Linked DNA regions of Schizosaccharomyces pombe. Changing the gene in region 4 together with the main gene of any one other region gives a genetic interaction. Each region holds a gene or a part of one and is shown on either strand. Other genes may lie near its edges. The genes, in order: crb2, cdc17, rad3 and chk1.

What was found.
Region 1: of chk1 (region 4) and crb2, a mutation in one rescues a mutant of the other (synthetic rescue), as found in Schizosaccharomyces pombe (4 studies listed by BioGRID, with this or other methods).
Region 2: mutations in chk1 (region 4) and cdc17 are lethal when combined (synthetic lethality), as found in Schizosaccharomyces pombe (6 studies listed by BioGRID, with this or other methods).
Region 3: of chk1 (region 4) and rad3, a mutation in one rescues a mutant of the other (synthetic rescue), as found in Schizosaccharomyces pombe (3 studies listed by BioGRID, with this or other methods).

Annotation. Positions count from the first base shown.
Region 1 is NC_003423.3:4,206,541-4,214,077, reverse strand, and holds crb2 (DNA repair protein), read right to left. Parts: upstream 3,112-7,537; 5' UTR 2,992-3,111; coding exon 655-2,991; 3' UTR 501-654; downstream 1-500. Other genes in the region: histone lysine acetyltransferase Rtt109, read left to right, coding at 1-438; proteasome regulatory subunit rpn1301, read right to left, coding at 4,799-5,512, 5,579-5,660, 5,701-5,780; 1,3-beta-glucanosyltransferase Gas4, read right to left, coding at 6,461-7,537. UniProt on the Schizosaccharomyces pombe protein: Essential for cell cycle arrest at the G1 and G2 stages following DNA damage by X-, and UV-irradiation, or inactivation of DNA ligase. Plays a role in the response to DNA damage.
Region 2 is NC_003424.3:1,386,207-1,394,053, reverse strand, and holds cdc17 (ATP-dependent DNA replication ligase Cdc17), read right to left. Parts: upstream 6,170-7,847; 5' UTR 6,111-6,169; coding exon 6,028-6,110; exon of another isoform or gene 5,988-6,027; coding exon 5,480-5,987; exon of another isoform or gene 5,418-5,479; coding exon 3,702-5,417; 3' UTR 3,437-3,701; downstream 1-3,436. Other genes in the region: itr2 (plasma membrane myo-inositol transmembrane transporter), read right to left, coding at 1-158; SPOM_SPAC20G8.02 (DDHD family phospholipase), read right to left, coding at 1,144-3,417; mitochondrial dihydroorotate dehydrogenase Ura3, read left to right, coding at 7,213-7,847. UniProt on the Schizosaccharomyces pombe protein: DNA ligase that seals nicks in double-stranded DNA during DNA replication, DNA recombination and DNA repair.
Region 3 is NC_003423.3:900,913-908,474, forward strand, and holds the start of rad3 (ATR checkpoint kinase Rad3), read left to right. Parts: upstream 1-3,271; 5' UTR 3,272-3,452; coding exon 3,453-7,562. Other genes in the region: dynein-anchoring factor Num1, read left to right, coding at 1-69; SPOM_SPBC216.03 (uncharacterized protein), read left to right, coding at 1,030-1,773; peptide-methionine (R)-S-oxide reductase Mxr2, read right to left, coding at 2,244-2,660. UniProt on the Schizosaccharomyces pombe protein: Serine/threonine kinase which activates checkpoint signaling upon genotoxic stresses. Involved in G2 arrest following DNA damage where it phosphorylates chk1.
Region 4 is NC_003421.2:1,056,620-1,066,555, reverse strand, and holds chk1 (protein kinase Chk1), read right to left. Parts: upstream 6,761-9,936; 5' UTR 6,537-6,760; coding exon 6,469-6,536; intron 6,424-6,468; coding exon 6,182-6,423; exon of another isoform or gene 6,136-6,181; coding exon 5,707-6,135; exon of another isoform or gene 5,669-5,706; coding exon 5,461-5,668; exon of another isoform or gene 5,415-5,460; coding exon 5,225-5,414; intron 5,180-5,224; coding exon 4,883-5,179; exon of another isoform or gene 4,838-4,882; coding exon 4,781-4,837; 3' UTR 4,572-4,780; coding exon of another isoform or gene 2,361-4,571; 3' UTR 2,113-2,360; downstream 1-2,112. Other genes in the region: protein Meu27, read left to right, coding at 2,361-4,571; ubiquitin-conjugating enzyme E2-C Ubc11, read left to right, coding at 6,819-6,913, 6,962-6,989, 7,040-7,129, 7,299-7,534, 7,585-7,666; gid1 (putative Ran GTPase binding protein), read left to right, coding at 8,367-8,631, 8,676-9,317, 9,365-9,769, 9,819-9,936.

The DNA.
Region 1 (7,537 bases), on a different chromosome or scaffold from region 4:
TTATGCGAGCTTCAAGATGAGAAAAGTGACATGTCCGTTGAAGAGTTTTGGGATACGCTGACTTATAGACAAGAGTGCTCCTCAGGTAAACTAGTTGGCTTTTTCACATTACAGCTACAGTTCTATCAAACAAGAGAATTTATTGCTAAAGATAATTTTGGTGATTCTGGTGTAATGATTCCAGCTAAATTATACAGAGTCACTTACGATACTTTATTGAAGCATCCATTTGGCTCTTTATCTGATGCACAGTCGTCAACAGAAAAGTTTCTTAGTAACACACTTTCCGCTGTACAAAATTTAAAGGATTTTCATTATAAGCGCTACAAGCTAGATATATGTGGGTTGGCAAAACGTGATGATCGTAAAAATCACAACCATTCGAAACCTGCTACGCAAGCCAATATTCTACAGCCACGAAAAAAAGTGAAAAAATAAAGGACTTTAAGTTCGTTGAAAATTTTTAATAATCCCAATCAATCCTCTCATGTAGATTTTTAGAGAAAGTTTTTGTTTAATATTGAAATTGACACTTTTCGTCAGTATTGCAAATAAATTAATAAACAACAAATATCTAAAATTAATAAAAAGCTAAATTAATGAGAGTGAAACTCAGGGGGAGTTAGTAAAAATAACTATATCAAAAAACCAAAACTAAGTAGAAATATCAGACTGACTAATAAGACATTCGACTATCCATTCAGGATCAACGACCGGACAATTAGTTTCATCTACAATGTTTCCATCCATCGTAAGTATCAAATCACACTCCAAATGTGCAACATTTGGTCTAATTTCAACGTCAGCACCCAATGCCAACGCGTGATAGACATGAGCCAAAGCTTTTTGACCCTGCTCTGTATTTTCAATCTTTTTCTGCCAAGATTTTGCTTCAGGTATAATAAATAAAATCTTTTTTCCAAATAAAGGACCCTTCCTTGCCAAAAGTCTGTCATATAAAGAATCAGTGGTATCAAAAGGTTCTATCCGTTGGGAAAGTGTACAATCTAGACGGTGTGAATAGCCAGATGCCAATAAATAAGGAGAAAAATCAACAACTCTGTTCATTTTTAAGCACTGTTTAATAAATTGAGGATGGACACACGGGATATTAAAAGCTAGAGCTTCTAAATATTTAACCTTTCTAGAAAATGTGTCAGATACAACGAAAGCTTGATTCCACGATTTACTTCGCTTTTGAGGTTTCAAATGGCGTAACTTTTTTTGTTTGCTTTTAAACGGGTCATTAAACAAAGGGCGTAAGCCTGTATCAAGAACTAATCCTCCATGATCCTGAACTACAGTTTCCAATGCACTTCGGTCATAGGCATCCTCATGCACGGGACCGCTGAATGCAAACACGCAATCGTCAAAGATGAGCTGATTACTTTCTGAATCCAAGTTCTTCTTGACAAAGGAAGAATCCCTTTCTTTCAAAGAAGAGCGGTTTCTCTGAGAATCATGTGAAGGAAGAAATGATGTTTCCTCAAACTTCATATCTTTTAAAGTAGAAAAACTGAGGTCTCTTCCTTGAAACCGCCGAATGTTCACAGGAGCAACATAAATAGTAGAAATGGGAACCGTAACCTCAATTTCTCCGTGTGCCAAAATAACCATGTCGTTGTTTAGAGCGTCCACTGCTATAAGGGATAATTGCTCATTAGTAGATCGAAATGTTTTCACAACAGTATGCTTGATTTTTCCTAATCTTGTGGATTGTACAACGTCTCCTTTTTTCAAAAAAAATCTCTTAATTTGATTTGAATTAACCGTGCTCATAGTTGCATCATCAAATTGAACCTTATACATGATGGAACTTGTTACGGCTGAATGTACGGGTGCGACAAGAGTTGCTGGGTAGTAAAAAGAGGGATATCCTTTAAAAAAAGCGAGTACACGGTTTTTAAAAGACCTTCTTGAATTCGGTGATTGGGAAGGTTTTAATGGCTTAATAGAAGCCCTAGTGAATAAACTATCAATTTTAGGAGTATCCAGGCTTAGGCTGTCAGACCTTGAGATAGCTTGATTATTAACCGATTTTCTCAGCCGTTTGTTTACAAAAATTGAGCTCACTTGACTAGACTGATCTATTACAGTCGACGGTGAAGCACTTGTTTCATATGAAGAAATCACATTAAATGGATTAGGAAAGTTTTCATCATTAATGTTTTTAGTTTTTTTTGAAAACTTGGTTTCCGTATTATCAACTTTTTCAGACGAGGGCTCAGTAAAGCTAAATTTTCGTTTATATTGTTTTTCGGATGTCTCTGGTAAAAAAGCAGGAGGAGTGGACTCTACTCGACCATAAAGAACGGGAGACCCTAGAGAAGTCGCCAGTCGAGTAGGTGTAGTCTCTACTTGACCGCTTTCTGTCTCATTTTCCATCTCATCCAAAGTGTAATCGTAAAACTTTGTCCTATGTTGAGCTACGGTTTCAGGTACAAGGACTTCTCCAACGGTTTCTAAGTTTTTCTCATTTTGAGAAACTGACAAAGGTGTATCTTTTAAAGTTGAAAGAGTTGATGGTAATAGAGAAGTAAATGGGGAAAGAATTTGGGAAGAATTAGATACATTCTGAGGAGTCAACAGCTTTTCATGGTCCGATATAACTGATTGACGATCGTATAAGCGTTTTAACACTGTATGTGTCTGCTTGGGTGAATAAGGCGACGATATCACCTTACGAGAATCATGTTGAATAAGTTCATCATCCGAAATGTCCTGGGAACTCTGTTTTGCAAAAGCAGCTTGACTAGGTACTTCAAACAACTGCGTAAGACTTAGCTCCTCAACAGCACCATTGTTATTCACATCCTTAGAATAACTAAACTCCTTATTAGAATTATCATTACTCCTAGGAGGGGAAGGATTAATTGAAGCATTCACTTTTGAATAATTGTTACGAGAAATTGCTGCTTGTGCTCCAAATACACGTTGAGAATTTATGTCAAGGCCAAATCCTTTATGCAAAGAGGTATCATTCACCTCCATAATATTGTTAAACTTTCAAACAAAATATTGAAAACATCTAAAATACCTCACAATTGTCAGAACTACAAATTTAACCAGGGCTTAACCCAAATTTCGATTTATCTGTTGTAAGCTCTGCATAAGTAACACGTTGCACCGTTACTTTATATGAAAGCAGTTAAGAACGTTTAGTTACAACACCAGCTATTTGGCTAATCATATATATATATATATTAATATGGAAATGAAGGGCTCAAGGTAGAAAAACTTATTTTCTAATTTTATTAATAATTGTTTGACCTGATGTACAAACTACAGCATGTTTCCACTTTTATTAATACGTTCGATAGGAGATTTATGTTGTTAGAATCAGTAATGTTGAAGAAGTAATTTTAAATTTGAGTTTTGAACTTTTCATCTTGACTTTTTGAAACAATCATAGAAAATAGATTTTGCTTGTTTAATGATATTTCTAAAAAAAGAATGTCAAATATAGTTTCAGGTTATATTGCTAACATTCATATCTTATTCGTAGTGGAGCCAACATACATTCGAATTCCTAATGAGTGATAACTATCGTTTATATACTTTATTAAAACTTAACAGCTGTCTACGGCCATACCTAGGCGAAAACACCAGTTCCCGTCCGATCACTGCAGTTAAGCGTCTGAGGGCCTCGTTAGTACTATGGTTGGAGACAACATGGGAATCCGGGGTGCTGTAGGCTCCTTCTTTATTATTGCTATTTAATTACTACTATTTTGTTTGAGTTGACTATCCGCATACATTGTTTATATGATTTTTTTTCATGCAAATGAAGACAAGCAGATAGACGTTATAAAGCGATTATGATTGTAATGAGCAAGTCTAAATTTGCTCAAGAGAAAGAATGTAACAAGCCATAGCTCAAAAAAGCAATTACATTTACTACGCTTTATTTTTTTAACAATATATATTACTAAATGTAACGGATGACACCGAGGTCGGGTAGCGTAGTTGGTTATTGCGCACGACTGTTAATCGTGAGGTCGAGGGTTCGAGTCCCTCCCTGACCGTTTTATGACCACTTTTTTGGCTGTTTACAAAAGTAAAATCGTTAGATTTGAAATTCAATGATATTGCGCAAAAATTGAATGTGACTACACGTCAATACTTTAACCATTTACAGTTGGCTACTTTCTAGCTTTAGTAAATCATTTCAATACTGTTCAACTTTCTAACTTATTAAGAATAGATGTTGGTATTATGTATTTGACATTACATATCCTACATTTTACCAACTGTTTTGGAAATAAAACATATTTTGTAAAACAACAATAATCAATATAAAGCATAAATAATAATGAAGTATGAAGTAGAGATACTTCGGGAGTGCAACTTCTCATTTTTAGTCGTCCTAATGTAATTCATCCTTGGCGCTCGCAGTTCATATTCATGAACATACATTGCATTTATAAATCTTAAGTGTTTAGGAAAGATAAGCATTGTATGCAAGAAAAATAAAGATTGCCTATTTCCTAAAACAAATATTTCATATATGAGAAAAAATGAAACTGTACCAATAAACATTCTGTAAAGAGCATTTTGAGCGAGCAACATTGTATTGTGTACTCCAACTTACTCTTACTCATTTTGGTAAGAGGACAAATCCTACCATGAAAGCATTTTAATTCCTCCATATTTATTTAAAAAAAAAAAAAAGAACGCCAGTAATGCTCAATTTAAAAACTTTTAATACGAATCGTCAGTGAATTATAAAGAAACGATTCAACGGATAATATTTTAAATAGAAATTTTTGATATACGACGAATTACTTAATCGAAGACATTACTCAGAACCATTATTCCTGCTCACGAAGCGAGCAATTGCTTTAAGAAATTGCAGAGCACCTCCCTCATTAGGATTGGCAGATTCGTCGAGTGAGAGACCAAGTGCTGAAATAATGTTTACACCACCAGGAGAATTTAAAGCTTGAGAAAAGCTTCTCAAAGCTTGAGCATATTGAGGACTACTAACAATAGCCAAAACCCCCTCCAAATTATTTGGGGTATCAGGAGGCATGTAAGGCATGAGTCGATCAATAACACCTTCTTGGCATAAAAGATCGGTTAAATTCGAAGGTTTGAGGATTTCGCAAAGATCGACTGTACTACCTCCAAATCCAGCCTGAGCAGAAATTGTAGCCAATAGATTCCTCACAGCTTCCGATGAATTAATTTCATCGCTGTTCGGGGCTCCAATCTCGGAGCTCTCTTTTGAAGATTCAGTTGGTTGAGCAATAGGTTCCGATTGCTCAACAGTATCCACTTCCATCATATCAGAAACCGTTGCAACATCAGAGCGGGCCGGATCTAATAAATCTTGATCCTTAATGTAGCTGTTAATTCTTTCAGCGTAAGAAGTATCGTTATCGTCTGAGGCTTCTTGCATCCAGTAAAATAGGCTATGAGCGCTAGAAGGATATTTGAGCATGTAAGCTCTCCCAGTGGTACATTCCGTAACTTTTTCAAATGTACACTCAGAAGAAAATACAATTATATCCTAAACTTGGTTAGTATCGACTAGAACTTTTAATGTGTTACAGGTGGTATTGAAAGTGATACTTACATCCTCGGGATTTTCAAGATCATTCCTTTTTGCCCATTGAAAATGAATTAATCCATAGGCGTCCCGATTCATGACTATATAACTGTGATTTGTTAGCTATCATACATAATATGCGAGCATACCCTTTTTCTGGGTCAGCACGTAAAAGCTTTGTTCCTGGAACTCTGCGAAGCTTTCCTGCTTTGAAAGTTATCAACGACATTATCCCAATCGCAAACTGCTTAAACTGCGAAATGCAAAAGACAGGTTGTATGTACTGTGTCGAAACCACGAAGCTCTAGCTTTCGTTGTAGTTCGTTGCGTTGTTTAACAATAACGTTTGATTACACTGCAAAAATCCTATCCTTGAAACAAACATAGCTTAATTTGGGTAGTATGATAGCTTCGAGGAAAAATAAATATAACTTATAAAATAAAATAATCAAATATTTAATAATGTTATGTAAATGATACCTTACTACGTTTGTGAGAAAGCGTAAATACAGCATATTTAGATTCTGAATTATCTTTGGCTGTCAATTAAGTAGTTATATTTCAGATCCTACGATTGCAATTGAGCGTTGAATTCGCTATTTATATTAGGTGAATTCTTAGTCAATACGATATTTAAAGGAAAAATATGTTAATTCCTATAACCCTTTAAGCCCTGAATCATAATGAAGTTGGTTCTTTAGGAATACCAAAAATTACTTGAACAGACAAATACTACATTAGCAATCCTTTCAACGTCCGTAAATGATAAACAATATGATTTCATTTAATTATACTAAATTGTAACTGGAAATGTTAGCATTGTCTTGTAACAAATCGGCTTTAGAAGAGTTCAATTGAATTACTGAAACAAGTCATTCAGCTAAGCTCTAAATTTCAACAATTCTTTTTTTAGAAGCTGAGGGTAGCGATAAGGACAGTAATAAAAAGTGCTTGGCAAAAAGCAACGCCAATTTTCGATGAACCGCTTTCAGAGGAGCTAGTCATGCCAGATGTATAACTAGTTGTACTAGTAACATTAGATGGTTTGTTTTTTGGCTTGGGACGTCGAGAGGTAGATTCATCATCGTCACCATCGTGAAAAGGAGACCACATATTCGTTGGACCTTCAATTCCCAAAGGTTCGCCAGCACCTTTTTCCATGTAAATTTTTGCACCTTCCGGCATTTCAGGTAATTTTTCCCATGCGTTAAATTGAGTAGAATTAGCAGGGCATTTACTTGGCGATCCGGCCTTTTTATAACCACCATCCCCTTTTGGATTTGGAGTTTTGGCATATTGCTTCATCAACGTTATAAAATTTCTCGACACTCTACGCTCGTCATCTTTGTCAATAACGACTAATCCATAATGATTAGGTTCGGCTGAATATTCGTAGACCAGACCACCAGAGAAAACTGGGGTCATATCGTGTGAATATATTGCTTCAATCTCCGTAAAAGGTCGGTTAGGAGTCGTATCGTCGTTTATTTCAACAGTATTGCAACCAAATTCTGACAAGAATAGCGGAATTGAATAGTTACTAAATTCCTTGATGCGATCATAATAACCTGAAACAGTCATACTTGAGTATCCACACCATTCATACATATTGAAAGCATAAAAATCTGCTCGTTCGCTCTCATCTCCACAATTAAAATAATGAGCTAGCTGTAAACGGTTTTCTGCTACATCGGCAGCAGAATAACCAACTGGAATATGCCGATCACTATGTTTCTTAATGTATGCCTTCACATCTCTAGTAACCGCTTTAACCCATGTAATAGCGGTAGTGTCTTCGTCATTTACTACTTCGTTGCCGGAGAAGAATCCTAGTACATTATCGTATCCTTTGAATGCGTCTATAGTAGCAAATAAATGTTGCAGATAAACTTTGTTGTAAGATAGAGCAGGATGAGCACGAGATATTGAATGCCTATAGGTGTTCAAATCCAAGATCACATAAATGCCTGCTTCACTTAACGCATT
Region 2 (7,847 bases), on a different chromosome or scaffold from region 4:
TCTTCCTCGTTCGGTAAAGAAGGGATTTCACGCATGTCCTCAGAAAAAGGAACCTTCTTCTTGGTTTCAGAAGGACGAGTGGTCATTTCCACGATAAAGTCTTTACCCTTATCATCGCTGGACTTAATGGTCGCAAGGGGAATATTGTTGAAATCCATTTGAGCCAGATACGAAATGCAATAGTTAAAGAACTATTATTCTAAAATTTAAAACTTTTACAAAATTAAACGACCGTGCTAATAAAGCACTTGGTAACCAAACAAGAGCTCCAAACTAAATCAGCATACAGTTTGTAAGGACAAGCCACAATAACCAACTTAATCTCAAATTTCAATCAAATAAAACAGTGTATCAACTAATTTAACACGTTTTATGACTTCTTAAAGTATTAAAAATGAAGAAATTGAGATTTGCCCGACTTTATACGCTTTTCGGAGTTGAGGTTCAGTAAATCAACTAAGCCATCGAGGGGTCTATATATATGTTCAAAAGGTGGGGAACAAAGAAACTCAACAAGGGTCCGAAAAAAGCAGCAAATTCGACAGCATGTCGTTATCGTTGTAAGAACGAATAGTACTTCTTCCAACGACTGAATGGCGTTGCGTTTGTTTAAGTTGTCTCTAACAGAAATACGAGATGGTCAACGTATATAGAAACTGGACTTTTTAAGAGTCCTTGGTAGTAGAAAAAAGCTTAATTTGCTATTTAGTGTTTTTTTTCTATCGCTACCTTTTTTTTTTACATTTTAATGCTAGAGGATGAGAAGGTGAAATTGATGTCCTGTTCTTGGAAAATTTTGCTATGAAACTAAAGCAACTACTATCAAAATGATATTGGAATGTTCTTTTTTACCCCAACTTTTGTACCTGCAAGCAGATGCCAAAGCTATAAAAGATTTATTGTTTTCGCATAAAAATTAGGAGGATTACTGTGTCAAATTTTATACAAGCAATCAATCTATCTACAAAGTCATGGGCGCTTTTAATAGCCTTCTCTCTTAAATCAATAGGTAAAATTTGTTTGGAAAGTTCATCTATTAAACTCATTTGAATTAGTCGTACATAAAAGGTAAAACATTAAAATAAAATTTAGATAAGAAAAGGAAGGAAAGAATGTTTACCATTGCATTAATTCGAAAAAGTATTAAAGTAATTGGGTTAGAATAAAATGAGCAAGATCAACATTTTTCCAATATTCAGAGTGAGCATTCATTGCTGAGACATAGCTATAAGAAGTATCTAGTGCACCTTCTTGTAGCATGAAGTCTATACGTCCCGTTTTGTTCAATCGATACATTCGCTCATCAATATGCCAATCCCGAATGTTTTCAGCTCCCTGTGATTCATCGTGAGAATCAGCGGTGGCCTCGTTAAACACAGAAGCATAACTCAATGATTTTAAGATTAGGGTATTAGCAATACCAGATCGAAGGCCAGAAAGAACATTCAGAGCACCACCGGCAATTTTATGCCCTACACCAGAACTTGAAAGGTCTTGATGAGGGCGAAAGTGAGAAATTTTCTGAGGTTTTAAGCGGGCCATTTGCTTAACCACCAATGGCTCTACACGATAACTGATGGGGTCAGTGGGATGAAATATATTATAGAAGTTTTGACAGCTAAGGATCGAGACACCCGAATCGAAACTTTGCTCAGAATAACTTAGACTGCGAGTCAAATTCGTTTTAGGAATAGGACCTGCAATTTTTTTACCATTCAGCATTTGAAATAATCCCAATGGGCTACCTAAGGCGAAAAAGTTTGCAACAGGAAAGTCAAGTTGCAGTTTTGAGTATTTGATATTTCCTTGGTAACGTATAATATCAAATAAAATTAGAGCCCCCAAGGAATGTCCAAGAAGTGAAACATGGCCATTAAATGAGGGGACATTTTTTTTGTACAGATTGTACAGACGATTCAGTCGCTTCACCACTGCTGCCAAAATTTTATCTCGATAATTTGGCTGACAATACAAGAGGACGTCTAGCAAAACATCCGAAATAATGTTTCGCAATCCAGTAACCGTAGGGATATTTATATTATCCAAAGTTGGAATGGAATCGTCTTCCAAATCGTCTAATGCAAGATCTCTAGACATGTTCAATGATTCATCATCATCGTCATCATCGTCCGCAAAAGACGAATCAAGGTCCCTTGCCATGCCAAATCTTATGTCTTGACGCCATAACAGAGGCAGACATTGAACACCGTTTCCACCTCCCTTCAGTTTGGGATACACAGCTTGCAGGTCTGGAGAAGAATTAAAGGTTTTTTTTAAAGTTTTACGAAAGTTACTAATATCCTTTACAAAACTGACAGTTTCCACACGTTCACCCATTTTTTGACCGATGCCATGACAGCACAATATTAGATGATTAACTTCCCGGTCGGGTCTTGACATTAAATGAGAGGCATCAGTCGCGGATGGAAGGTCTATCGTACTTTCGGTATTACTAGGTGTAAAGTTGTCACTTGGATCTGAAGAATCGTTTAAAAGAGTGGTAGAAGTCAATTCCTCAGTAGGGACAGGTGTACTCGGCTTCGAATTCGACTCCAACATATCCAGTTCATAGCCTCGCACCAATTTATCACTTCTGTGAAAGCTAGCAGGAGAAAACCGATTCATAATTTTCACAGAAACGTTACGATAAAAGTCATCATACACCAGTCGGGCATTCCTGCTGCCAGTGTATTGTACGAATCCACCTGTATACCTTCCAAGGAGGGCCCATGTTTTTGATTGTGCAGCAGCAGAGTCTTTTTCATTCGAAAATTCTCGATAGGGACAACTGTTTAAATAACCTTCTTCCACTTGTGTCGCTAGATTTTCCTCACAAGGGTACAGTTTATCCCCACGACTAAAAAACCACGTTCCCCTGAGTATCCGGTAAACGGGACCATCCCAGTATATTGGTGAGAGTTCTCTTGAAACAACGTTCACCGAATACAAATAATCCTCATTCACATTGACCGGTTCAGATTGACCGTCATTTTCTACAGCCTTTAAATAACTTTTTTCGATGTGCTCCGAGTCTTCAGCTGAAAAAGGTAAAAAATTTTTTGCTTTTTTAATTTCCGTCGGTCCCGTTCTTGATTTCCTAAGCGGTCTATCTACCGCATAGAACCAACGTACCCGCAATGAAGGAGCATCTGTCACAGATCTCGATAGCAAATGACGAAATGACAATTTGGGCGGTTGCACATGTTTCAATGGCCATTCTTCTGAATTATTCATAGCAATTAATGGCTTTAAAGCCAATATTGTAATTTCTTCTTGGTGTTTGCTACAGTGACATAAAATGTATATGGACGGTAATGAACACCAAGCATTCGTAATCCACTGTAAGGAGGAATATGACGGCAAAATAGAGTAAGGCTTGGTACGAACGTAAAATGGTAATACAATGTATAAAATCATATAAAAAGGATAATAAAAAGGGATAAATAAGATTCAAATTTTCAATCTAATGTTATAATTTGGAAATTCAATGTTGTTTATTATTAATTTTTTTTTAGCCACAGGGGATTACAATTAGAAAAAAATAAATAGTAGTAAGCTAGAGAAATAGCCATCAGCTAGAGCATAAACTCAATTTGTCTGTCTCTTTAACATAATTCATATTAGCCTCTTTGGGCAAATTTTAGCCGAACATTACCCTTTATTATGACAGTAGCTCTCAGCAGTAACTCTCAGCTACAAACTTAATAATCTTCGGCAGCTGGGGACCCTTCTTTTTCCTTTTGACTGTAAGCCACCTGCGAACGATAGAATTCTGAAACCTGTTCACTTGTTGTAGCATCCTCCCAGCTCTTGTCTTCCCGAATACGAATGAATCTTGGAAAACGTAAACTGATTCCTTTGTCCTCTTGAACATATCCAATTGCAGCTTTGTAAACCGGAGACAAAGATAAATCGGCAGCTAAGACTTCCCACAAGTACTTAGGCTCAAACCAGACGTCAGGCTGATGCGCAGGTACATCGCTATGAGCATAAAAATCTTTCTTTTTAGATATAACAATGTCTTTAAGTTGATTGTAAAAAGTTTCTAAATGCTCCTCTGAAAAACCAGTCCCGAGTTTGCAAATCGATTGAACTGTTTCGGTATCTGGATCGTAGCAGCCCAAAAGAAAGGCACCATAAACAGAAGTACGTTTACCCTTTCCGTAGTATGCGCCAATTACAATCAAATCCAGAGAATCTCCAACACCAGAAAGATAGTCTTTTTTAACTTTTAGCCAATGCCTGGAACGTTTTGACGGTTCATAATGAGAATCCGGGCCTTCAAGCATTTTGACCATTAAACCCTCACAAGAATCTTTGACAGATTCTTCAAGGAATTCTTCAATGGATTCAATAGACTTTTGATCGCTATGTTTAGCAAAAGTAAAGTCTCCAGTACTTGGTTGAAACATTGAGTAAAGTAGTTTTCGACGCTCGTTGAGTGGGGTTTCCAAAAGAGGTTGCCCATTTAGGTATAAAATGTCAAAAGCGAAAAGGCATGCTCGGACCTTAATGTCCCCAATTTTCACATCTTTCCTCTTTCTTGTTGCAAGTTTTTGAAAAGGTAAAATTTTGTTTTCATCACGGTCCCAACCGACAGCTTCGCAATCGAGAATAAAAGAACGAGCATCTGGTTTTTTCCACTTCGATACAGAAACAGAGATGTCCGGATAGCGAACAGACATGTTTTCAGAATTCCTAGAAAATACATAAAACTTCCCATCTTCGGTAAAATGAACTTGGGCGCGCTCGCCATCGTATTTGTATTCACATGTAAATGCGGCTTGATCAAACGTATTCAAAACTTCTGAAATTTGTTTCGTCGGCTTAGCCAGCATGGGTTTTGTTGGGATTCCAGGTGTTAATTTACAAGTTTCACGCAAAGTACCAAGTCCATGCTCAATCAAGTGAGGAACGATAAGGTCGTATGAAGGCAGTTGACAGTAAACATCTCGAAGAATCTGCTCTCCTTCAATCCTGTCTTGTTGCGAAAGTTTTTCTCCATTCTTATCAGCATGATATTGAGCGGTGGCATTTGCTAATGCTACTAAAATGGTTTTTTCGGCAAGTTGGAGGCGTAGCTTGCCTTCCAAAGCTCGAATCAAATATTTAGGTTCTGCACCTTCACAGGAACTCAATAGCCGCTTGATCACTCCAATTTTTCTATTTTGGGATTGGTTTCCGCTCATTTGAGCAATTTTTTTTAATGAGTCAAATAAAAATGGAATTGTCAGCGCTGCAGGTTTAAACATAGTGGGTTGATTTTGACGGGATGTTTGAGCTACAAGACCAAGATCACCAACTTTGTGAAACGATAGTTTAATCTGTTGAAGCGTTTGCCCTGTAGACTCTCCAATAGCCTTCATTATAATGCTTTCGCCAATTCCTAGCTCTAGTCCCGAGTAATCTGGGCCCAACTAATGTAAAAAAAGACGTTAGTACTGAGAAGGAGAAATCCTTTAAAACCAAACGTTCATACCTTATTGATACTTAAATACACACAGGCCAGTAAATCGCTGGGATGGTCGCGAAGAATTCCAAAAAAGTAAGTCCCCATTATATCAATGATTTCCAACCGTTTGCTAGTATTCTCTATTTTTGTGAATGCTTTTACCATTTCAGCAAATGTTGCATGACCTTTTAACTTATCATTGCGAGCATTGGACTCTAACGGTGGTTCTTTGATTGGCAAAGGTATTGGAGTAGATGCCCCAGAATCGTTGTTACTAGATACGGCATCTGAAGAAGAGGAGGATGAACCTAAAGTCTTTTGCTTTTTTGCCTCAGACACAATATTATTTTCACGCTCAACATTTTGAGTTCCAGTGTCGTCGTGGTTGTTGTGTTTCGACTCGTCGACTAATTTCACTGATTCGACCTTTCTCTTTTCGCTTGTGCTTCTCCCATCAACATTTTTGGAATCAGAAGACGATTGAGAAACCTCCACGTGCTCGCTTTTGTGCGAAGCAGAAGAAATGAAGAAGTTGCTATATGGGTTAGTCAACGTCTGTCTTCTATCTAACAAACCTAATGTCTGACTGCCTTGTCGACATCCGTATGTACTGATTGACTTGTTTAAAACGAGGAATTTGCGAAAATACTGTTCGCATAACAATCAAGTCAACGAGTAAAGAATTTCATAAGATTTGACAATAGTGAGGGTACACCTGAAGAACAAGTAACACGTGTACGATATTTGTAGTTTAAGGACAGTGAAAACGAAACCATTTTTTTCTAAGTCTATATAGATGAAATTAATTTTTATGATTATAACAGGATAATATAAAAGCTATTTATCATTGATATAGTATGAGTGTTCCTTGTCTCATTCATAAATACTATTGACTTAATCAACTCTCTCCCAACGCTCTGTACATCATAAATACAGCTAGAAAAAATGAGAAGTTGAATTGTATAGAAATGCTTTAGTCATACCAGAAATGAACAATTGCCTGTATCAACGAACGTAATAGAAACAATTTGGAAATACATTGCTAGAAGTTTATCAACTAGATTCTAACCATTTAAAAAAAAAAGAAATTTAAATCAACAAAAATTAAAATAAATTCCTAATAGGCTTATTCGCTAATGTGTAGTGGTTTGTAGTTTTTTTGCAAAAAGCTGTTCGCACTTGTTTTTCAAGTGGATTTTGTCCTTAAATTTTTAAAATTTTTCTTTTTCAAATTTTTTATGAAATGTTAATTCGAAAGCAAAAACTATCATAAAATTGTTTATAACCATCGCTTTATTTACAAAACTCATAGTCAAATTTCGACAGCCCGGCATTACTAAAAAAACATGTTACCTGTTACAGGTAACATTCAATATAAACATTCAATTTTTGATTTTTGTTCTTTCTCAGAGAATATACCTCTGCTAGCACTTGGAGAAATTTTTTCGGTTCTGAAATCTTTGTTTTCGTTGAAATCTTATTAGAACCAAGTTCTCCATTTTATATAAATTAACACTTCTTGTCTCTAGGTGGATAAAGAAACGGATTGACGATTCTGTTCTGATCCTTAAATCCATATTTTTATTTTTTGGTTCTGTTTATTTTTTCTTGGGTTTGTTGTGTTTGGAAAAAAACTGGTGTTTAAATATATTAAGCATAAACTATTATAAAACTTCATTTTATTATTTTATCATTCATATTTTTTTCAATTTCGTTTTGAAAATTTTTTATTTAAGCCGAATTCTATTAAAAATACTAAAATGTATCAACGATCTTTGTTTCGCGGTGTCGCTCAGGGTTTAAAGCGCTCCTCTGTACGTTTTCAATCTACCAGCTCTGGCTCTTCAAATGGCAATTTCTTTCTCCGTCATTGGAAGCTTTTGAGTGTTATTGGTAGTTTTACTGCCGGCGTTGCCATTTACGACATGTCCGATGTTCGTAGTTTTATCCATGGCCGCATTGAAATGCCTCTCTTTCATGCTTTCACCACTCCTGAGTTTTCTCATCGTGTCGCCATTCTCGCTGCCTCTTGGGGTATAACACCGAAGGATCGTGTAGCTGATGATCCATCTCTTGCCGTTGAAGTTTGGGGTAAGAAATTTTGCAATCCCATTGGTCTAGCTGCTGGTTTCGATAAACAAGCCGATGCTATCTCAGGTTTGTTGAACTTCGGGTTTTCCTATCTTGAAATTGGCTCGGTCACACCTAAACCTCAACCTGGTAATCCTAAACCACGCTATTTCCGCCTTAAGCCTGATTTGTCTGTAATCAATCGTTACGGTTTTAATTCTATCGGCCATGATGCCATCCTTGCTAAGATTCAAAAGCGCGTTCGCAAATACATTGCTAAGACATCTCCTCAACTATTAAAACAGTTTGATGCAAATCCCGCTTC
Region 3 (7,562 bases), on a different chromosome or scaffold from region 4:
AATATCTGGGTTCAAGCTATCAAACAAATAAATCATAAGGCTATCTTTGATACTAAGCCCGGCATTTAAGCATGTTTCAGTCATTGCTTATAAGTTTTAAAGTAAACTGTTTCAATATTCCCTAACAACTTTTAAAGTTATACCAATTGTTTTTATTAAGCGGCATCAAATAGAAAGATATTAAACCACTGTAAACAACTAAGAATCAAATGTCTTAATCAGTTTTGTAAATGAGGTTTATACGATCAAGCTTTATTGCAATTCGACATGCACTAATGAGGATGATATACTTTCCTATTTTGTCGAAAAAATTGCTCTTTCTATACAATTCATTTTTAATCAATCAATTTATCATACGAGACATTTAAATAGCAAACAAAAGACGACTAACGTTTAAAGGTAACATCGATAATGTTAGTTTTATCAAAACAAATTATCCCGTATAAGCAAAAGAAGATTCAGACTTAACCTTGACGGAGTTTTATGTGCAAAGAATTAAACATTGCTATTACTGGTAAACATAACAAATCTGGGCGACTTTCAATTACTGAATGAATAATAAGCAACCTGTTAAATGATTTTAGTGCCCAGATGCACTTTCCGTGTATTACCCCAAGAACTTTTAGCGAAAGTTAAAAAGAGCACAATATATCTGGCTAGTTATTTTACTGCATCGTTACATCATGTTAAAACTATTAGAGCTTACCATACAAAAACTGAAAACGTCACATAATTAACTCGGTACTACTAATTAGGTAAACCGTGCTTTTGCTCATTCCCTGTGGTGTGTCTCTTCGATTCAATTTTGTAGATTGTTTTCATTTTCCTTATTCCTTTCTTTTTTTAAGAGGGGTTTGACAGATACACAGCATTTCCAATTCTAAAAATTACTCATTTTAACAATTGCCATTGCTTTTATTCAAAGGATCAGCTAATTAAGTTCCTTTTTCAATAAGGGAGAAGGATATATTGGATTCTTGATTCCCAACGGTTAAAGAAATCATCGTCAGCATTTTTATTTTGTAAGAAATGACTGTTTTTGTTGTTTTTGGAGGGCATGGAAAGGTGGCCTTGCTTTTTACTAAAATTGCTACAGAAGCTGGCCATATAGTTTACAATGTTGTACGTGATTATGTTCAGAATGAAGACATTGAAAAAGTGCATGGCAGAACTTCTGTCTGTTCACTTGAGAAGGCGACGCCTAATGATATTGCTCAGTTTTTAGCTGAAATACACCCTGATGTTGTTATATTTGCAGCCGGTGCAGGAGGTAAAGGCGGCCCTGAACGAACAAGAGCCGTCGATTATGAAGGTGCTATAAAAGTTTATGATGCTATGAGGATAGCTGGTATTCGACGCTTAATTATGATATCTGCGATAGATAATCGTGATATGAGCCAACCTCCTCCTCCTTACTATACGGCTGCTGATATAGAGCTAAGTGAGAAAATACATCAGTCAATTGGAACTTATTACCATTACAAGTACCTAGCGGATCAGGAATTAGTGCGACGCTCTAGTGATATTGATTGGACGATTTTACGTCCTTCTGGTATGACAGACGAGAAGGGTTCTGGAAAAGTTGCATTGGGTAAGATATCCATAAATTGTATGATGTCTCGTGAAAACGTCGCGCGTACTGTACTACTGTTCGCTCTTGATAATCAGTCCATCCATTTGGTGGTTGACATGACGGATGGAAATGTGCCAATATATAAAGCCATTGCTGGATTCGTCGTAAAAGGAGAATCATCCTATACTTATTCAGTATAATGTAATGACATTTTCGGATCCTTCGCGTATTATTGTAGTCCACGCATCTTTTACTCCTTTCTTAAAATCTTCTGAAAAAAGAACGAAAATTTTTCAATGACCTATGAAGCGTACGCAAATTAATAAATATTTAAGTGAGGGATACTTTAGTTATACCCTTTATAGTTGAAATAAATGGAAGATCATATCAGGTAGTGTAAACATTGTGTTATCGTTTATTAACTTTGGCATAAGCAGCTTAGTTATAACATACGGCTAGTAAATCTAATTTCTGACCTAGAGATTACTACACTCTTTGAAAACAAAATATATTAGTTTAAAATGTTAAAAGTAAATGCATTTTATTGAAGTTAACCAAAACGTGAACAAGCAACTTTAAATAAAATAATAGCCGTACATCAAGCACAAACAATTCGAACTGGTGCTAACATCTAATAAAGAAAATACAGAAATATTAAGCATAATCTAGTTCAATTGTCATTTGTTGCCTCATTATGGAATTCCAAACTCGCCGAATTTATACAATGGCGTTCGTCAGTAGGATTAGAATAACCTTCTCCTTTAAAAATATGGCCTAAATGACCACCACAGTTGGCACAAACTGCTTCTACACGATGCATTCCATAAGAGTTGTCTTCAATGCGTTTCACCTTTCCAGGTAAATTATCGAAAAACGCAGGCCATCCACAATGGCTTTCAAACTTTGTGCTAGCTTTATAAAGAAGCTCTTTACATGCAGCGCAAACAAAAACGCCCTGTTTAGGGAACTGATGAGTGAATCGTCCTGCACCTGGGTGCTCAGTACCCTTTTGTCTCATAATTCGATACTTCTCAGGACCTAGCTCCTTTTTCCATTCATCTTCGCTTTTTTCCAATGGAAATCCCATCTTTGTATTATTTTTGACGTTTTGGACAGGGTAGGAGACGTTATATGCACGTTTCAAAAGATTCGTAAACTTCGTATTTCCACAGATTGAAAAGTGTGTAGTAATCACTTTTTTCATGAAAACACAAGACGATATGTACCACAACTGGCACTACAAAAATTTTCAAGTAAGTAAACGACTTTTTGACCACTATTTATGTGAATAGGTAGGTACCAAGTAAAAACTGCTTAGTAAGTATAAAACACAGAAGAATCCGCGATCTAGTGAACCAATGCCCTGCGTATGACGCTCCACTGACGCTATAGTCAATGAGAACTAGGATGTGCGATTATAACTTATCTTTTCAATATTTTCTTATTATTTATTTAAGAAATAATTGAATTAAAACTCATTTCTTCTTTTATTAGCCGTAAAATAGCTTATTTTCTCTCCTACTACCTTTCAACAATAACTTTTTTTTTTGTTTATTGACCATTATAATCACATCAAAAGTCAAAAAATTCAATCATTATCAGAAACATCCAGCCTAATATTACTTAAAAGTTAGTTTCCTCTGAAAATTCAGTATCACAAAAGCTCGTTAATTAGCATCGCTCGATACTTAGTGCACCATGCATCTTCCTTTACCTCGTGAGTGGAAATCGATTTGATAATCGATTGCCACTTTTCGCATAATTCTATTGAGATATTTTATTACTTACAATCGTCTTTTATAAATGCTCAAGACTTTGAACGCGCGTGTTGCGTTTTAAAAAGGCCTTTTTTTGAATTGAATCAATGGTTTGATATAGTATGAGCCAACACGCAAAAAGGAAAGCTGGGTCACTCGATCTTTCACCCAGAGGCTTAGATGACAGACAGGCTTTCGGACAGCTTTTGAAAGAAGTATTAGCATTAGACAAAGAACATGAGTTAGGTAGAAGTAATTCTTTACCATCTATGACCTCCGAGCTTGTTGAAGTTTTAATTGAAGTTGGTCTTCTAGCTTTTAAACATGATGATTCAAAATCTGAATTTATCTCTCCTAAGATGCTAAAAGAAGCCCATCTCTCTCTACAAGCGTTAATGCTAATCTTAAAAAGGTCTCCGACAGTTTTGCGGGAGATTAAATCATCTGTTACTCTTTTGGATTGGATTTTACCCAGGACTATATCATTGTTTGCTGATATTCGTTTTATTAAGTTATTTGACTCATTAAAAGAGTTTCATAAGCTAATTTATCAGCTAATCAGTGAAAAGTCATTCCTATGGGACTTATATGCTTCGTTTATGCGTTATTGGAAATATTATATTACAAACGTTTCTTCTATAGTTCTCCAAATCACTAATGCTACATTCCCTTACAAGATGCCCTCACCCAATTCTCAACCATTGCAGAGTATCACCCCAAATTATCCAACCCATCGAGAGGACAAATTTGATTTACTTATCATTAATATAGAGGAGGCTTGTACATTTTTCTTTGAAAGTGCCCATTTTTTTGCACAATGCTCATATTTAAAGAAATCCAATTTTCCTAGTCCACCTCTCTTTACAGCGTGGACTTGGATCAAGCCATGTTTTTTTAATTTTGTTATTTTATTAAAACGAATCAGCATCGGAGACTCACAGCTCTTTCTACATTTGCATTCACGTATAGTCCAAACTTTATGCTGTTTTTCCTTGAATTTTATATATCATGGCCTTCCCATTTGTGAAAAATCTAAACATATTTTAATGTCCTCCATCAACTTAACATTGGGATCATTGAAGAAAACTTATACAGTTGCTAATACTGCTATATCTCTTTTTTTTCTCTCTTTATTTGTTTTACCCAAAACTGTAGCTGGTCTATTCTATCCTTTTGGGGTTTCCTTACTTTCTGACTTCAAGGTATTAGAGCAACTTGAACCAGATTCTGATCTCAAAAAGGCAATAATATTATTTAAGTGCAGATACCAAAGTTCAGAAATAGATCAAACAACTCTCCGTGCTTTTGGCGAAATTTGTACTGGTAAACTTGAAAACACGTTGTTTTCTAACTCTGAATTAAACCTTTTTCTTTTACATTATCTTTCCTTGGACAATGACTTGTCAAATATTCTTAAAGTGGATTTCCAGAATGGTCATAACATATGTACATTTGCAAAATGGTGTATAAACAACAACTTAGATGAACCGTCTAATTTAAAGCACTTTCGTGAAATGTTAGATTATTATAGCTCTCATAATGTTACAATAAGTGAGGACGACCTGAAGAACTTCTCTTTAGTTTTGTGTACTCATGTTGCAAAGGTGAATGAGAAAACAAATAGTATTTTCCGCACATATGAAGTACATGGTTGTGAAGTTTGTAACTCATTTTGTTTACTATTTGATGAGCGGTCGCTCTTTAAAATTCCTTATCACGAATTGTTTTGTGCATTGCTAAAAAATCCCGACATAATTTCCTCTTCTGTTAAACAATCATTGTTGCTTGATGGCTTTTTTCGGTGGAGCCAGCATTGCTCAAACTTTAATAAAGAATCAATGTTAAGTTTAAGAGAATTTATTATGAAAGCATTAGCCAGTACTTCAAGATGTTTACGTGTTGTTGCTGCAAAAGTTTTGCCCATTTTCATTAAGGGACCTAATAATCTTGATATAGTTGAATTTCACAAGGAAAGTAAAGCCTTGATTTTTAATACGTTGAAAATATTGGCGGTGGAAAATACAGCTATTTTAGAAACGGTCATTCTTTCCTGGATCTCCTTATCTAGAGTGGTAGAAGAAGAAGAATTACATTTTGTACTATTGGAAGTTATATCTTCTGTGATAAACAGCGGAATATTTTATCAAGGCATTGGTCTCAGCGCTCTGCAACAAATTGCCTCGACGCGTCATATATCCGTTTGGCAATTACTTTCTCCATATTGGCCAACAGTGTCCGTTGCGATTGTCCAAGGTATGGGTAAAAAACCGAACATAGCCAGTTTATTTGCTCAGCTTATGAATATTTCCGAGGGCGATTTTCTTATTCGAACACAGGCGTACACTTTACCATTCCTTGTACTTACTAAAAACAAAGCGTTAATAGTACGTATAGCTGAACTTTCACAAAGTGATGTTGCTACTTTGTGCCTTACCAATATGCATAAAATCCTTGCTTCGCTACTTACTACGGATCATCCTAATTTGGAAGAGAGTGTGATGCTTCTTCTTTCACTGGCCACTTCTGATTTTGAAAAAGTTGATTTAACGTCTTTGTTACGCTCTGATCCTATTTCTATTACTGTGGAGTTGTTACAGCTTTATCAGAATGATGTTCCTCATGAAAAAATTGAAAATGCTTTAAGAAAGGTAGCAATGATTGTCTCTCAAGTGGTTAATGACGAAGACTTGAGCAATAAGGAATTACTTTATGATTTTTTTAATAATCACATTTTGGGTATCTTAGCAGAATTTTCTAATATCCTTAACGACCTGAAAGGAAAGACTTCAATTAATGAAAAGATTAAGACAATTGTCGGCATTGAAAAAATGTTATCTTTATGTGGAGGTGCAGTCAAACTTGGATTACCACAGATACTTTCTAATTTACAAAGTGCTTTTCAAAATGAGCACTTAAGGTTTTATGCAATCAAAGCTTGGTTCAGTTTGATATTAGCAACCAAGGAGCCCGAGTATAGTTCAATTGCTGGTTTAAGTCTTGTAATTTTACCTCCTTTATTCCCTTATTTAGAACCACAAGAAGCAGAGCTAGTAATTCAAATATTTGATTTTATTTCTTCTGACACACACAAGTGCCTACAAGGATTAAAGTGGGCTATCCCCACCAGTCTGGATTCAGCGTGCTTTAGCCTTAAGGCTAAAGAAATATTCTGTTCGCTTCAAAATGAAGATTTTTACTCTGAGCTTCAAAGTATAATTAAGTGTTTAACTAACGAAAATGAGCCAGTTTGTTATTTAGGTTTACAAAAATTAGAACTTTTTTTTCAAGCCAAGGTGGACGAGTTACATGACACACTAAATTTGGACATATCCAACGAAGTTCTGGACCAATTACTAAGATGCCTTTTAGATTGTTGTGTAAAATATGCTTCAACAAATATGCAAATATCATATCTTGCTGCAAAAAATCTTGGTGAATTGGGTGCGATAGATCCCAGCCGCGCCAAGGCTCAACATATTATTAAAGAAACAGTTGTTCTTGATAACTTTGAAAACGGAGAAGAAAGTTTGAAGTTTATTCTAGATTTTATGCAATCGCAGTTAATTCCAGCTTTCCTTGTTACTACTGATACTAAAGCACAAGGTTTTCTTGCCTATGCTCTGCAAGAGTTTCTAAAGCTTGGTGGATTCAAGTCCGCAGTGATTAATAAAAAAAAGGGACTAACTGTGGTAACAGAACATTGGATGTCTTTGCCTGATTTATCCAAACGTGTGCTTATACCATTTTTAACTTCCAAGTATCATTTAACACCAATCCCCAAAATTGACATTCGGTACCCTATTTATAAAGAAAATGTTACTATTCATACTTGGATGCAGTTGTTTTCTCTTAAATTGATGGAGTACGCCCATTCGCAAAACGCTGAAAAAATATTTGGTATTTGTTCGAAAGTAGTGAAAGACCAAGAGGTTAACATTCCCTGTTTTCTTCTTCCCTTTCTTGTTTTAAATGTTATTTTAACCGAGTCAGAACTGGAAGTTAATAAAGTCATTGAAGAATTCCAGCTTGTTATTAATCAACCGGGACCTGATGGATTAAATTCCGTGGGGCAACAAAGATACACCTCATTTGTAGATGTATTTTTTAAGATTGTGGATTACCTTAACAAATGGCTTCGCATGCGAAAGAAGAGGAATTGGGATAGACGTTCTGCCATTGCAAGGAAAGAGAACCGTTATATGTCGGTGGAAGATGCTACCTCTCGAGAATCA
Region 4 (9,936 bases):
TGATAAGGTACCACATTATGTATATTTCCTCTGCTTGACCAGCTTTTGTGTATTCCCACATGTGAGATTTTATGACAATCTATTCTTACACTAACGAGCAATTTCTTTTTAGATAAGCTTAGTGTAGCAGTTGATATTTTGGAAATTGCGTGTTAACGAAAGGCGGCTTTAAAGTGATTTATTAACTGTTTGATAGCGTCATTATCAAAAAAATTATGCATCTTCGTTGATTTGGACTAACAATAAATGTTTCCAGAAAAAAGAAGTTTTATACTATAGCTTTTAGTAAAATGGCTTTTCTTACATTTAAGCTATTTTGCAGATTTCAAATTATTATCATTTTTAAAATATTGAACTTTAATCATTAAATCAACGATGAAGCAAAGTTTGCAAACAGAGTCCAATTGAGGAAAATTAACATGTCGTGAACTAATTTACAGTAAATTCTATAAATTCCTCAAGATATTTTGGATTCGCCAAATAGTAATGAAGAAGCTAAAACACATGTTAGTAGTGTTGTATCGGGCAGTTTGGTTAATTCGAACAAAAATCTATGGTAAGTGGTCTAGCTTTTTAATTAACGAGGTAGCGTAAAGCATTTGTGAAGGTTGCGAAATCTGTGGCTCTTCATTACTCAATTAGCCAGTTATTAAACTACGCTTATACCAGATATAATAAGAGTTAGGCTAACATCTGGTCGTGTGGTTTAGATGGTTATAATTTCTGCTTAACATTTACAGTTCGCAGACGGTCCCAAGTTCGAGTCTTGGCACGATCAATCGTTTTTTAGTTTTTAATTTTTTTACTTTTAAAAAAGAAATTATATCTGCTTTATTAATTAACGATTCTTTTGGAATGAAATCATTTTTACTTTTTTAAATAAAATGAGATCAGCAATTTTGGTTGGATTAAATTTTTTTTTTTATTTACTTGTTCCATTGTAGTTCTCATTTTTTTCAAAAGTGTAATTACTAATTATCTGTTGTTTGTAATTAATTATTTTCGCATCGGATTTAAATAAAAAAAAAAAAGAAGAGGGAAACTGTAAAAATAATTATCTTAAGAAATATTAAGTGCTGAAAAATATACAAACAAAAACTGAATAAAAAATTTAGTTAGTTAATGTTACTAATGAAGCTAGTTTGAAGTATTTTTGAGTATTTGGACTAAAAAGAAAGATAGTTAATAATTAATTTAAAACAATAGAAAAAACAAATAAAAAAACGGAGGAAAACTCAACAGTAGTAAAGGCGTAACAATTATTTGCAGTGGTAGTAAATATATATATATATACATATATGTATGTATGTTGTATTTGTATGTATGTTATATTTGTATACTATGATAAGCGTGGGTAGTATCAAAGTGCGTTGGAAAAGAATAATAGCAAATAGTAAAGGAAGTAATAATCGACTAACATAGAGTAAAAATCAACCATGGGCATGTGGTGTAGATGGTTATCACGCTTCCTTAGCATGGAAGAGGTCCCAGATTCGAGTTCTGGCTTGTCCAAAATTTTTAATAAATAATGTGTTGGTCACGCAATATGAAACTGGAAATTTGATATTCGTACTAACATACGAACGAAAATAAAACACTTTCTATTTTCTGAAATTTTTACTTCAGAAAGATATTTTCGGGGGTATTCATGAATCAATAACTTTTGACAACATAAATACAATATAATTCGATCACTAAAAAATAACTTCTGTTTATTTACAGTTGCTAGTATTCCACTCTTTTTCGTTTGTTTATTTACACATTATTTTCCTTTAACTCAGAATTGCGTTAAATGATTCTTTTCGAATGTATAATTGCAGCAATGTTGATTTGTTTATTATTTTTGTTTACAACATTATACTTGGTTGTCTTTAGTAAATCTTGCCTCCTTATTGGTTACAAGTCAAACATCCATTGTAAATAGTGAGTAATTGGTGTTGTTTATTTAGGCTTAGTTCAAAGGCTTAGCTAAGGATATTATTACTATTCAGTTAATCTAAATCCTTTGTTATTTGAGCTATTTATCCAGGATGCAAATGGTTAGCGAAAGCTTTTATTTTTAAATGATCATCTTTTAGTAATATTAAATGTTTACTTAACACTTTTTTAAGCAAATGTTAGGTGAGCATCAAATTATCATTCGATGTTTGTTTATTGTGAGGGATTTCATAAATTATTAGTTATGATAAAACAATGTGTTAATATAAACGAAATGAATTGTTTTTTAATATAAATAACCCAAGGTTGAACATGTTTTACCCAACCTTTGTATACACTTCAAGAGATTGAACACGATCTCTAATTACTGAGTTATCCAACTGGCAATCACTCAAGCCTCAAAAGAGCCAAGTAACTTCGTAATGAACAGTAAAATTGCTTATCCAGAGATTAAAATATCAGGTGCCTTTCGTCCTGATAAAATACAGGAAAAGGGAAAAAGTAACCGATGTGATACTCACTGCTCTGGTAGCTCTTGGACAAGTTTTAAATCAAAGATCCTAAAAATTTGCGCTCCTCTCTGCTGTATGGGTTCTGATAACGATGAAAGCATGGCAGAAATGCCATTAGAACCCCAAGTTGAGCCAAAATCAATAGAGAACAATTATACTTTAAAAAAAAAAAATGAAGAAGGCTTCTTAAGTCAACAGGAAAATAAGTCTTCAAACCAAAATCCTTCAAAGGCTAATAACCTTTTCGACAAGCTCGGCGTAAGCAAGCCAATAACATTCATAGCTTGTATACTGCAATTGGGCGGCACCTCTTTTATGGAATCAGAACTCCAGACGAAACTTTCAACTATTAATAGCTCGCCGTTTAAAAGTTTATCCCAATACTGGAATGCTGCATACAATAAAAAGGAATCAATATCATCTTCAACGAATAGTAACATCAAATTACATTTGGCAGCTCGTAAATACCAAACAAAACCTGAAAAATTTAACGAAAATTCTTCCATTAGTCAGGTTACATCCGCAATAAAAGCAACAAAGGCATTTTCGCATTTAACTCAACCGAAGAGGGCACTATTGAAAGAAAGCAATACGGGAGATAAAGATATATTTAAGCCTCGGTATCCACAGCTTCTAAGCTGTAGATTTACAACCTTGAGCAAATTGGCGCCAATTAATAATTCCAAATCAGCACCTAAAGGTACCCACAAACCGAACCACTCAGAAAATGCTGAATTAAAAGATATAAAACAGAGCTCTGAGCTTTCTGACTTATCACTATCTTCACAGATTTTATATCCCGAATCCACGACTTTAAGTGAAATATCGCCGATATATGATTCTGAATTAGCAATTGAAAATATACTCGAATCTAAGTGCTTTGAAAATGAACAAGCCATAATAGAAGGAGTAAAAGATTTTACCGAATTTCCCGACCTAGAAGAAACACAGATTATATATTCCGACCTCATCGCTTCCAGTGAAGTATCGCCAATATATGATTCTGAATTGAAATATGAAAGTGTACTCGAATCCAAAAGCTCTAGAAACGAACAGGCTACAATAAAAGAAAAAAAAGATAATGAAAGGGTCCTCGACTTGTCACAGCAATGCACAAAGTTTCTTTTCAGTGACCAAAAGGTTATTACCCCAAGCTTTTGCAAATTTGCCCAAGTATCAGACATGTGCTCTACTGAAATTCCTTGGGTAAACTTCTTTTGTGATAACCTAGATATATGTATCGAAGATGTTCAATTCAAGAGTAAAGCCTTTTTTCCACCTACAGTAACTATTACCATCTTTGAGCACGAAGATAAAAACTTGATGAATGTCTTCGATACTAAAAATGGAACATCAAAAACATTAGTGAAACCTCAAATAACTAATAGCTGCCTTGAAAATATGCTATCACTTGTAAACAAGAACAGCTGTATTAAAAGGCTTCACTTAAAGTTGTCTAAAGGGATAATGGACATCAAGGTATTAACTCATCAGCTAATGCTATATGATCTTTATCCTCCTGCTCACCAAACATATCTATGGAAAGCATTAGAACGACTAGTGAATGAAAAGGTGAGTTTAGGAGAACTAACACCTGTTCACAAAGTAGCAGCCGAAAAGAGAATAGGAGACATCCGGATGCATTTAATTGAATCTTCGGATATATACGTTGTTACTGAAAATCATCGCTGGCTACATATCGTGTGTGAGGGCTTTAACTGTTTCTTAGAGCTTCCCGAAGTACTTCACGGAAAGAAGTTTTTAAAAGTAGATGAGGCTACAAGAGAAGACATGTTAATGTCTGCAGAGACTCCAGACGATATTTTATGGATAACTACATTGATAAGTACTGGTTCATCGATGTCACATTTTCCTTTGCATGCTTACCTGGAAGCCAAAGAGAGACAAGAATTCACAAAAAAGAACCTTTTACTATTTTGTAAAGAAGATGAGTTTTTATACTCCGACCAAGAAAATGAAGACCTTTTAGAATCGTTTGAAAGAGTTATTTCAGAAGAGTTATCCCTTTTAAAATCAAATGAGCCGTCAGATATCTCACTAAAAAAGAGAAAAAGAAGAAAGAATTGTGAGAAAAGAATATTGGGTACAATGATGTATTAAACGGCATGGCCAGTCGGAAGAACTATCCTTATGCTAATAATATATCTTCAGCATTCGCAACCATTGATATTTGCTTGACAAAGCGTTAATAATCCTATTCCCTAGGATATCATTTGTACTACCACAAAATTGAAAATAAATTCACAACGAAGTCAAACAACAGGTTTCTTTTACAAACGAACTGGCACGACCTTTCAAAAGATGTGCAATTAATTTTGTGAAACATCTGTAAGAACAATCGGCTTCCCTATTGAACTGACAACGTTCTTTCACATGGATTAGTATATGAAATCCCTATGATAAAGACATACTTTAAAAAATTTTCTCCATTCAAGAGGATCCCCATTACGCTTTATAAAGTTTATAAGCTCTAAGTTATGGCCTAAATTAGTTAGTTCAATAACACCTTGCAAGAGACATTTCCGTTTATCATGTAAATTAACATAAAGGATGGTCTGATTTCGAACATATTTCATAGTCACTGAGATTGCAAGTAGTCGTAGACTGTCATAAAGATGATCTATAATGGTTTCTCTCGACGCCCTAGAATAAAACCTAGTGAGTCTTTCAGGAGGACAAATTTCGTAGAAATTCTTAGCCTTTTTGGCCTTTTTCATATAGTTAGAAAAAATTTAGGTTTAAATAAATAATACCAATCTTTTAATAAAACCTTCATTCTCACAAAACTGACTCAATGAGGGGTCTTTTTCAAGGATTTCAGTAACGTCAATATTTTTATTAAGTTGTACTGGCTGGGATAAGGCGCCATAAACTTCTACACGATCCAACTCCTTTTGGTCATTTTTTTTAAAAGCTGGCTGTGTCATTGAAAAACCGCTATCGCTAATTGAAAGAGTTAGAAATATGAAACAACTGTGCAAGATCTTACTTTTGAGATGCTCTAGATGAGGCAAGACGTGGTTTATCTAAATCAATACGAAGTTTCAACATGAGCCTTGATGCCAATGCTACAGGATCGGCACAATTCCCATTTTTAGTTCGAAATGGTGTACTTGAGGTAAGCCATGGGTGCTGTACAACATGTTTGACAGAGTAGCGCTTAAATGGATCACTTCGAAGCATTCCGGTGATAATCGCTGATCATTAGTTTAAAGGAATTTCAGTCAGGACTTACAATAGGCTCCTGGAGACAACAAGTTCCATGGGTGGTAAGACGGGCGTTCACATTGTTTTTTATAAAGCAAGTAGTCACCAGTGTTGCTAATTGCTTCATCCCAAGGTGTGTTGCCTAATAACAAAGCAAAAAGAATTATACCGCAGGACCAGACATCAACTTTTGAACCATCATACTGCTGTGTAATTTCTGGAGCAGCGTATGGTGGACTACCCACTGGACTATTCAAAAGCCTACTTTTACCTTTATAGGAAAATAAAGATGCAAAGCCGAAGTCTGAAATCTTTAAGTTACCATTGTAATCTAAAAGGATGTTCTCAGGTTTCAAGTCTCGATGCGCGACACCTTTAGAGTGCATGAAGGAAATACCTTCCATAAGTTGAGCAAAATAAAACTGAGCGACGTCCTCATCAATACCTACATCAGGCTCTAAATTGTAAGTCCGTTAGTAAAAACGAAAGGTTCATGCACCCACCTATTTTGTCAAATAAGTCACCACCTTGAGCAAATTCAAGTACTACCCATCTCCATTGGGGATTTTCTGCTGTATTATAAAAATGAATGATATTTTTATGTCCATTGCATAGTTTGTGAAGTTGTATTTCACTAGCCATCCTTCTAGCCCATACCCCTGCATTCATACAACTAGTAGCATGTTTTTTATTGACAAATTTGACAGCATATATTTTAGCATTATCATCGTAACATAAACGGACGCTTGCTTAAGTTAGTATATAGTATTTTTCAAATCAAAATTCATACGAAGCAAAAGCCCCAGTACCTATTTCTCTACCAATATGGTAAGGAAAGTTATCTAATTTTTGAGCCATTCTTTGGTGTAAAGGGAAAGAAGATTATAATATAACACAAGCATATGTTGCAAATTTTGGCATGTGTATTATTTACAGTCTTAACATCATCAAAGACTGGAAAAGATTAAATTAAGGTAATTTTTAAATGAGTTTTAAATCTATATAATGATATAAAATTGGACTATAATTTGATATCCGGTTTTCGTTTACTTGTGTACATTAGCACATGTTGTGTTGTGTTTATAACTTACTCTCCTACCACCACGTACTCATTGAGAAACTACAGTAACAACTTGAGGAATGGATTCTGATATGCAAAACCAGAACCCTCATACTAATTCTAAAAACTCTTCTTCTGCTGGCATGGCTGTTGACGGTCATAGCGTTACAAAACGGTAAAAAATAAACAGTTTTTAGGAAAAAAGTCTCTAATGCATTTGTAGATTGAGAAGCGAATTAATGAGTTTAATGGTTTGTAATAAGCTTTTTTACTTTGTTATTAACTAGGGTTTTATGACTAGATGTCCAATACTCCTGGAATTAGTGCGTTTCCAGATTCTGATTCTAACCTGCTACATTGGGCTGGCACAATTACCGGCCCAAGCGATACGGTATGACTTTTATTTTGAAAGCTTAATATTTAAAGTATATGAATAATGCTTGGTGTGCTTACTTGTAGCTGCACTTTAATGGAAAATTAATACACATCTTTGTCATTACATTTTCATAACTGTCTACTCTTCTTTCTTCTTTTTCATACGACTAACGTAACGAAAATAGTACTATGAAGGATTGAAATTTAAAATTTCAATGTCATTTCCAGCTAATTACCCATATTCCCCTCCAACTATCATTTTTACTTCACCAATGTGGCACCCCAATGTCGATATGAGTGGAAACATATGTTTAGACATTTTAAAAGATAAATGGTCAGCAGTCTATAACGTACAGACAATTTTGTTATCTCTACAAAGTCTGCTGGGTGAGCCAAACAATGCTTCTCCCTTGAATGCTCAGTATGTTGAAAATATCTCATTTACCTTTTTTGATTATTAACAATTCTTAGAGCTGCAGAATTGTGGAGTAAAGACCCTATCGAGTACAAACGTCTTTTAATGCAGAGATATAAAGAAATCGATGAAATTTAGTTAGGCCGGTCTATTTCATACTCATTTTCATTTCTGTTTAGTCATATGGATTTTCTTTTCCTATTCAATGCTTGAAAAAATGTCTTTAGTTAAACTTTCTTCATTGATAATGGAAGTTGAAATTATTTCATCTCATCGATTAAGCAATTCCTTCATGCAATGCCACAACCTCCTGAAAACCACCGAATGGTTTTTTAAGGACCGTCTATCATTATTTAGTTCCAGAAGTTGAAGTTGTTATTATGATGCTCGATTAAAGCTATTCTTGTTTAATGCATTCCGTTAATGCAGTCGTTTTTTTAGCTTTCCGTTAGATTATAATACTATTTTATTATTATTGATTCTCAATGTCATTGTGTTATGTATTATCGCAAGACAAGTATCAATGTTATGTTGTGCCTGAATTTTTTTCTGATTAGTAATAGGACTGTATATACAGCCTAATATTTGTATTTCTAATTTTGAGCCTTTAATCCTTATGAAGCCGTATAGTGAAGTATCTTTTCAGTCTCAGAGCATTTTATAGAGTTGCTGAAATTTACACGTCATTTAAAAATTTAAGAGTTTTACCAATTATTATTACAAAAGATTTGTATTTAATTACAAAAGAAAAACTGATTAGAAAATTGAACATTTAAACTGATAGCTGAATAAGCTACTAAAACTGGCTGTTTATATGCTACCAAGAGCATACCTGCGAATGACTAGTACACCAAAGAATCTTGAAAAACAGCCGATTAACTTCGACAATCTCCCCTTGTATTTACAAGGAACCAATTACGGAGAAAATGTGCTTAGAAGTGACCCACGATGGCTGAAATGGGAGAAGTATTTACGAGAGTTTGACATGACAAGGGAGGGCAATGTAACAAATACGCCGAAAGCCATTCCATCTTCATGGAATCCCAACGATAAGTCAGATTCATTAGAATTGATGAATAACAACATGGGGGTTTATTTCTTTGGTTCGTTGTATTAATTATAATGGTTTATAACTAATCTTTAATAGGTCCTGAAGCCGGCACTGAACATGATGCGGCGTCTGTAAAAGCTGATCATGCAATTCCATCAAACACTTCTATCTACTATTATGAAATTCAAATTTTATCTCGAGGAAAAGAGGGAAAAATGGGTGTTGGATTTTGTCGGAAGAGCATGCAAACTAATAGGCTTCCAGGTTGTACAGCAGAAAGCTGGGGATACCACGGAAACAGTGGTGAGAAATTTAATTGCTCTAAAACGGGTGAAGCTTATGGACCTGAATTTACCACTGGTGACATTATAGGCTGTGGAGTTAATTTTATCAACAGGACAATTTTCTACACCAAAAATGGTGCCTATTTGGGTGTAGCATTTAAGAAAGTCAGCGACGTTTTGTACCCTGTTATCGGATTGAAAAGTCATGGTGAACATGTTGAGGTTAATTTCGGACAGAACCCATTTCTTTACGACATTGATTATGCTATTCAAATGGAGAAAAACAAATTATTTGAACAGGCAACTAAGTCACCAAAGCAGGAAGAGTTAAAACAGCGTCAAGAATTTCTAAACGAGCTGATTTCATCGTTTCTGCTCAATAATGGATTTGTTGAAACCGCCAAGAAGTTTTGCCCAGAGAACACCGAAGTCTCTGACGCAAGTATTAGAAAAGGTATATTTTCGCTTTTTACTGAACAATATGACATTGACACTTATTAGAAATTAGTTCTATGCTTGCTAATGGCCAGCTCGACCTTGCTATGACAAAAATCGACTGTCAATATCCAGTTGCTATCCAGGAATGCCCTGACCTTATTATGTCTTTAAGATTTTTACGTTTCCTTCAACTAGTGAAAGTGACTCATGATCAGCGGCTTACCAAAAGTAAAGGCACCAAGCAAATCTCTCAAGAAGAAGATTTACGTATACTCCAACCTTTAATGAATTATGCTCAAGAACTTTCTAATGATTATGAGCATACAAAGAGCAGCAACTTGCAGGCGATGATTAAATTAAGCATGGGATTGCTTGCATATTTTGACCCATTTTCAAGCCCATTATCGTTTTTTATGAGTAGCGACTTTCATAAATATATGGCAGAACAAATCAATTGCTTATTACTGGGTAAGTTAATCTCAAGACATGAAGTGATACATGAAAACTAATGATTTAGAACTTACTGGACATTCTCCAGACAGTGAACTTCGACGCTTTCTACAGCACACTGTATGTTTGAACGACTTACTATGTCGTAATGGCTGCCGTTCAAATACACTGTTTAATGTTCAAAG